2 linked regions of the Arabidopsis thaliana genome follow. The protein of the gene in region 1 interacts with the protein of each later gene in a pairwise test. Each region holds a gene or a part of one and is shown on either strand. Other genes may lie near its edges.

Evidence for each region. The genes of interacting proteins can lie anywhere in the genome.
Region 2: the proteins of AFO (region 1) and IDD14 interact in binary tests that used the Arabidopsis thaliana proteins (3 or more experiments, as listed by UniProt).

The regions. Positions count from the first base shown.
Region 1 is NC_003071.7:18,628,584-18,632,342, reverse strand, and holds the start of AFO (Plant-specific transcription factor YABBY family protein), read left to right. Parts: upstream 1-1,563; 5' UTR 1,564-1,790; coding exon 1,791-1,904; intron 1,905-1,914; exon of another isoform or gene 1,915-2,025; coding exon 2,026-2,187; intron 2,188-2,281; coding exon 2,282-2,414; intron 2,415-2,989; coding exon 2,990-3,038; intron 3,039-3,128; coding exon 3,129-3,204; intron 3,205-3,622; coding exon 3,623-3,700; intron 3,701-3,759.
Region 2 is NC_003070.9:25,530,039-25,533,797, reverse strand, and holds the start of IDD14 (indeterminate(ID)-domain 14), read right to left. Parts: upstream 1,791-3,759; 5' UTR 1,315-1,790; coding exon 1,164-1,314; exon of another isoform or gene 1,063-1,163; coding exon 660-1,062; intron 187-659; coding exon 1-186. UniProt on the Arabidopsis thaliana protein: Transcription factor regulating starch metabolism by binding directly to the promoter of QQS. The IDD14beta isoform attenuates the transcription factor activity by competitively forming heterodimers with reduced DNA-binding capacity.

The DNA of each region.
Region 1 (3,759 bases):
AACGAGAAAAAGTAATGGCAGTGGTAATTAAGGAATGACAACAACGGGTGAATGAGGCGACGCTTAATCACTCCCATGCACACGTCCCTTTCTTCCCCCCACCTCTGCCGCCCTCTCTCTCTCCTCTCTTCTCTTCCTCCATTGGGAACTGCGAATTCTATTGTCAAAGCTTTAAAACTTTTTTCACTTAAATTTTTTTTCAAGAGCTTCGTCGTTTCTTAACTTACTTGCAAACACATTACATGTGTCATCACGTGCAACCCCAACCCCAAAGCCTAAGCTCGCGAATCTTCTAATGTATGCCTCAATCTTCCCTTGTTCATACTAGTACTACAATATCTTCTTCCTAAGATTTCAAAATTGATCATGAAGTGGTTTGTAGTTTAGTGGTCATCGCTATATTGATCCAATCTCATATTTTTGTCGAAAGTTTTGTATAGTAGCTATAAATTTGATTCTTTAGTTAGAATTTCTTGTTCTATTTATATAGAAACATAAATGCCTATAGCTATTTTCATATATTAACATGTGCTTTTAATTGTATAGACCAAAATTTAATTGATTGCAAAATTAGGTTTGTAATTGTTTGAGATCAGATAGAAAAAGGTCCATCTTTAAGCGATAATATCCTCAAAACTATTTTGTCATCAGTCTTGTCTCCTTGTGACCACAAGGTCATCTTAGAGGTACAACGGTATAGATGCTTAATGTCTACGTTTTCTAGTAAGGGTGAGACCGCATGGTCAACCGAATTTCTAATATAGGCATTATCAAAAAGAAATCTTATATTGGATGTTGACAACAAAGATTTAATAATAACTCGCATCATTTGACTAATTAAAAATTAAAAAAGATCTAAGTGAGATGTATATTTTTATCAAAAAAAAAGAAGTGATATTTGTAAAGAAATTGTCCAATTCTTTTGTCAATTAATATTATGTTCAAAGTAATTTAACATTTGTTTAATATCTGGATCCACTTGTCAAGATTATGCATTTTGTGATAAATAAAAACAAAGAGTGCGGTATAGTGGTGGTACAATTCAATTGTTATGTGGCAATACAATTTATAAGAATATACGGAAAAGGTATAAAAAAAACTGTTTGTGAAAAAAATGAACTGCTTATTCAAATGGTGTTTAGGGTGTAGTTCCGAAACTTATTAAAAAAACTAATGTATGTTTATTTTATCGATCATAAATTTTATTCGGCCACTTGATTTAATGAAAAATTATATAAATAGTTATTGTCTTATTAAACACCGGCATATTTATTTTTATTTGGTTTGTGTTATCTGTTCTACACCATCCAAACTTATTCCATTTATGTTGCTGGTTCACTACCGCTGACTCTGTTATACTATTCAAAACCTAAAATTGTATATAACCCATTGGAGAATTTCTTTAAAGAATATATGTATCGCTGAATTGAAATGTATAATACACCACATTATATATATACACACAGTATTACCGAATTAATTAACGAAATTAATAGTAGACGACCTAGAGGCTACAATTAGAGCATTTGTTGTTTAATTTTTACCCTCTAATATATTAATATCCCCTTTCCCTTCTCACTCCTTTCACCTCTTCTCTCTCTATATATCTTCCTTTGTGGTATATAATACACAGCAACCCAACAATCAAGAAGATCAGATCATGGTGGGGTTTTTTATTTTCTCCTTATCAAGAATCCTCTGATCAGTCAAATACCCATCAATCAATCAAATCCCCAAACACTCCCAAAAAAAGATCAGCTTCCAATATTTTTCCCCTTCTTACAAAAAAGATGTCTATGTCGTCTATGTCCTCCCCTTCCTCAGCTGTTTGTTCACCGGACCACTTCTCTCCTTCCGACCATCTCTGCTATGTCCAATGCAACTTTTGCCAAACCATCCTTGCGGTACAAAATAACCTCTCTTCAATACTTTCTCTCTCATTTTTTCTCCTCCAACTTCTCATCTTCTTGATCTATACAAGATTAGGGGTTTTTTAAATTCATTGTTTCTTTTGTGTGCTTATAGGTTAATGTTCCTTACACAAGCTTGTTCAAGACCGTAACTGTCCGATGTGGTTGCTGTACCAATCTCCTTTCGGTGAACATGAGATCATATGTCCTCCCAGCTTCTAACCAGCTCCAGCTCCAGCTCGGTCCTCACTCTTACTTCAATCCCCAGGATATTCTGGTACTTAAACAAAATTCAAATACATAATCTTATAGGGTCTCATTTAGCTTATTGGAAGTAATCTCAAGCCTCAAGGATATAAATATTATTGTAGGAGGAGCTGAGAGATGCACCGTCTAACATGAATATGATGATGATGAATCAACATCCTACTATGAATGACATACCATCTTTCATGGATCTTCATCAACAACATGAGATTCCTAAAGCACCACCCGTTAACCGCCGTAAGATACTAATTCTTCTCACTTTTATGATATTAACTTCTATGCTAACCGTGTTTATAATTTGGTTGTGATGATGAATCGCCATTAAGACATGCATAGCTTTTCTTATTTAACTTTCACTGGATCTCGTTCAAACCCTAGCACCATTGAATTAAGTCTAGAAGGAGATTTTTTACCTTTCTTTTCTTTGTATACTAGAAGGAGACATGAGAGATTATGATTTTGTATATTTAAAATATTCATTGATCCATGAACTTTAGTATGTGTTGATTGTCTACATATCCTAGATGGCTTTTAGCGTTGGTAAACATTAAAATAGTGACGATAAAAGAAACGGGGAGATAGATTCATGGATCCCCCGGAAATCTAGCTAAAGAGAAAAAATCTATGTAATATGTTAGAAGATGGGCTTGTCTTTAAAAAAACATGATGAAGTGATGATGGGTTAGAGAGAGAAAGTATTTGTGTGAGAGAGAAAAAAGACAATGAAAGTAGTTTTAATGAGTGTTTGTCTCTTTCTGTCTGAGTTTTTGTTTTTTCGCTTTGTCTTTGCCGTTGAATTTCGCCATTGCCAGCTCCAGAGAAAAGACAGAGAGTCCCATCCGCATATAACCGATTCATCAAGTGAGTCTCTTATTTAATTTTTACAATCATTCATATTCTAACCATAACTGTGTAACATTAATATAATTCCTTGTCACGTTTTTATTTTAGGGAGGAGATCCAACGTATCAAAGCTGGTAATCCTGATATAAGCCACAGAGAAGCCTTTAGTGCTGCTGCCAAGAATGTAAGAACCTTATTTCTCACATCCCAAAAATTTATATTAAACTGTTATCCATTGGTTGAATCAAATTTTAATAATCAAAAGAGTCCTTGATAATCCATATTTATCTCTAGTTCAATAAAAAAATTATTTTTTTAAACGCTGAAAATTCTAGTTAGAAGTGATGCGTTTTAAGTATTCTTTGTTTTCCTTTACTAAAGAATTTAAGCCATTGATACTACTAACATCACAACTTGGTTTAGATTGCCGGCAGAAACTAGGGTTTGATTTTATCTATGCGTATAGTTGCTCTTGTATTAGTTGTATATATATTAAACAGTCATATATGTAGGTATAGCTGAAATTAGGAGTAAAGAATTTTGTCGGGTTATAACACAAGTTGATATGTGTCTTGTACGTATGTTGTTTATGTGTAATGCAGTGGGCCCACTTCCCCCACATACACTTCGGGCTCGTGCCAGACAATCAACCCGTGAAGAAAACCAACATGCCCCAACAGGTAAACCCTAATCTGTCGACATACCTTACATCTTTAATGCATATACTTTTATGTAATAT
Region 2 (3,759 bases), on another chromosome or scaffold:
CTTCTTTGTAAAGGATGTCCAGGCAATATAGGACCAATGGAGAGGTCCCCGTTCTCGTTGTTTTCCGCGGTTGAAGCGGTTTGTGTAGCGTTTGTGGTATGTTGTTGCTGCTCATGTAAACGGTGGTTGGAGGGTTGGGATCGGCGTACGGTGCAAGTGTCTTGGTGCTCTATGAAACTTTCCACTCTGAGAAATAAGAGTGTATTATATAAGTTAAACTAAAATGGAAAGCACAAAGGAATATTTGTATCTCGTGACAGATAATATAAATAATTAAGTTAGTGGAGTTAGGTATCTTTTGGATTATATATTTGAGTATGAGATATGCAAGACTTCGAGGTTTAGTATGGTATATACTTAACAAAGTTTGATAATGAAATCTATTATGGGGTCAACGTGAGTAATCAAAACATAGTTCCTAATTATTAAATTAATTAAAAGTATTTTCAGACAACAGTACATCCAAACAAACCTCATCAGGTTCCATTAGTAAACGTTGTTTCAAGATCTATGTGCGTTATCTAAAAATCAAAACATGGACACGCCATACTAGAAAAAACATTCTTTGATTTACTTTAAGGATTCCGATAAATATATATCCTAAATATATAATAAAAATAAAAATTAAAAAGCTAGGGTTTGTTACTAAGGAATGGAACCTGGAAAAAACTCGGCCGCAGTCACAGGAGTGGCCGCGAGTGCCACAGGTTTTGAGATGAGCTTTGTAATCAGATTGAACTGCGTAGCCTTTTGAGCATCGCTCGCAGATCCATTGCTTGTGGTTACTATGTTTCCGTCGGAAGTGTTTCTTGATTCCCACGAGATCTCCGAGCGCGTGGCAAGGGTTGTGGTGGAGACATGTCGGCTCCGGACAGACGTAGACTCTTTTCCTCACTTCCTCGTTGGTCTCTCTTTTAAGAAGCTTCCATGGAACTTTATGTCGTCTTCTATGCATCTGTAGATTCTGGTCCCTTTGAAACCCTTGGTTACAGATCTCACATACGTACCGATCCGATTCTAGTAACGTTCTTGGTGATAAAGATACCACCTCCGCCTCCGGATCTGCCACCGGATAAATCAAAATCTTTAACAGAACTATTTGATAACTTTCCGGATATAGAATCTAACAACTAGTAATTCTTGATAAGAAAATTGTTAAATACCCGGTGTCCCGGCGGGTCTCCGTTTCCGCTTCTGAGTCACGGCGGTTCCATTACCGTCGGGAAGAAGATCAGAGGAAGATGAAGATGGAGGAGGGTTGTGATGATGGGTGTTGATGTTCTTGGTGGTATTGCTTCTCTCGTAGTCTATCATCGGATGAGGTTTTTAATCTCTTCTCTTTTTGTATTTTATCTCAAGACAGTGTGGTTTATAGTGAGAGAGGTACTGTGACTAAATGAAAAATAAGAACAAAATTGAGGAATCTTTTGTTTTTCATGTAGAGAAAGAAGGAGAGATTGTTTTTTATGTTTCCTTATTTATTTGGTAGAGAGAGTACTCATCTTTACTAATAGAAGAAGAAAGTATAAGATGAGTTAAGAGAGAGAAACAAAGGGCTTTGTTTTTCTGAAATCATCTTTATTTTTTTTCTCACATAAAGGGATAATAGCTTTTCTGTTCCCTTTTACTATCCAACTTTTTATAATTTTCTTGGAAAAGAAAAAAATAAATGAAACTTTCAACTTTTTGTTAATTGTTTCATTGACCTCTCACCTTAGATGGAGAAATGCATTGTATGGTCTTTGGTGCTTCAATCTTCTTCAGAGTAGTTATGAACCTCTCTCTTCTCTATCTGTACACTGTTTGTTTACAAACACAAAACATATCTATGGAGAGAGATGTTTATACATATAAAGAGAGTGGGACAAGGAGCTTGGAGCCCACATTAGCATCAGGACAAGAAACAAAAAAACATCCCCTTCCACTACACAACAATTACAAGTCATTATTATTTCATATCATAAAATATTCGATCAGAGTGAGTAAGTTTTGTTTTTCAAAGATAAATAAAAAAAAGGATAGGTGAAAAATATAAACGGAATCTTGGAAATTTGATGTTTAACAGTACATGTTTTTTAATGGTGACAAATGTATATATGTGTAGCCTTTAGCTATAGGGCTGGTGTAAATTAAAAAGGGAAGGGACTTGAGAATATTTGTTTTGAATATAAGACACATGCATATACCCAATTTATGTTTCCGTATATATACAAATATACAATGTGGTGCCATCATCTCATGCCTTTTTATATAAGAAATAGGTTTTAATCAAATATGAATACTGTGCCCACAAGTGAGACGAATCAGAAAATTTCCAATATATAGTTTTTCTTACAAGAAAAACAAAAAACAAACACAAAACCCTAGAGTCAGATCTGGTTTTTGAGTGTCAGCTGAGACCAATTCTATATAACATCTCAAACAAAAGAAAAATTAGAGATCTGGAATATGTTCGAAAGAATTTTCTTTATTAAAAAACATGTCTATAAAAGTGTGTGTGTGTGTGTGTGTTGTGCGTATAACATATACTTAAAGTCCACCACCATCTCATTAAAGGGCATTTGTCTATCCAAGTGGAACTGTAAGAAAATTGAAGTAAATACAAATTTTTTTAAAAGTTTTATTTTTCATTAAAAAATAAAAAGAGAAACAAAAAGAAGATGATACTTTATTAATAGGAAGAGAAAGGAGATGGTTGAGTTGGAAAGAATGGGTGGGAGGATGGGGGAGATGGATTCTCATCACATGCAATGCTTTTTTTTCTTTTTTTGTAAAGTTGGATATATCAAAACTTTCACAATCGCATTCTTACTTAAGAAATTAGGATAATAGTCACCTCTTTCCTTTATTTAAGGAATATATGCAGTAAAGAACCCTCTATTTGGCAAAAATAATGGATAAAAATCATACTTAAATTCGATTATTTATTTTGTGTTTTCTTTAGAAAATAAAAGGATTTTATGGGTATATTTGAAAATAACACACTAATTAATTTATTTGACACTACGTTATATATATATATATATATATAGTTTTGTTATCCTATTCTTTTGTAAATTAAACTCCACTATGATCATGTAGCAACTTCACCCTCGTCCAAATTACTCGTTTAACTAGTTTATTTAATTGCGTGAACTCAATTCACTACCTTAATTAGTTTTTTTTAGTTGTTGACTTGTATTACCTTGAATTTACCCCGGTCTTTAGACTTAGCATTATCTATAACTCTTTTTTTTGTTAATACTACTCATTAAATTAGAAAAAATGGAGTAGTATTTATGTATTTATATGAAACAAATAATAGCACCCGAAAACCATTTAGTGGAGCTGTACACTGAAACCTGAGGCATTTGTCTCGTTCGCTCTTGTTGCTATCTGAAAGTTGCAACTTCAAAAGTAAAATTGACATTTTTTAGATTTCACTGAAACCCAAAACGGAGAGTATTGACTTTAATGTAGCCTTTTACAGAAATTACTTACATACATGAAAAAGTAGTATGTGCCAATGTTACGCGTAGCCTATAGGAACCAAAGTAAAATACAAAATTCCAAATAAAAGAAACTAAACTGGCGAACGAAAGAAAAGTTTTGGAAATTAATCCCTGTAAAAGAAAAACAAGAACACTAGAATTATAAAGCATTGCAGGTGATGTTGTCTTCTACAAACAATTTTCTTTAATAAAGTAGATATATATACACTCGTCCAAAACAACACTTCAATTCGTTTTGTTGATATATATACACAATTCAATATCAAGA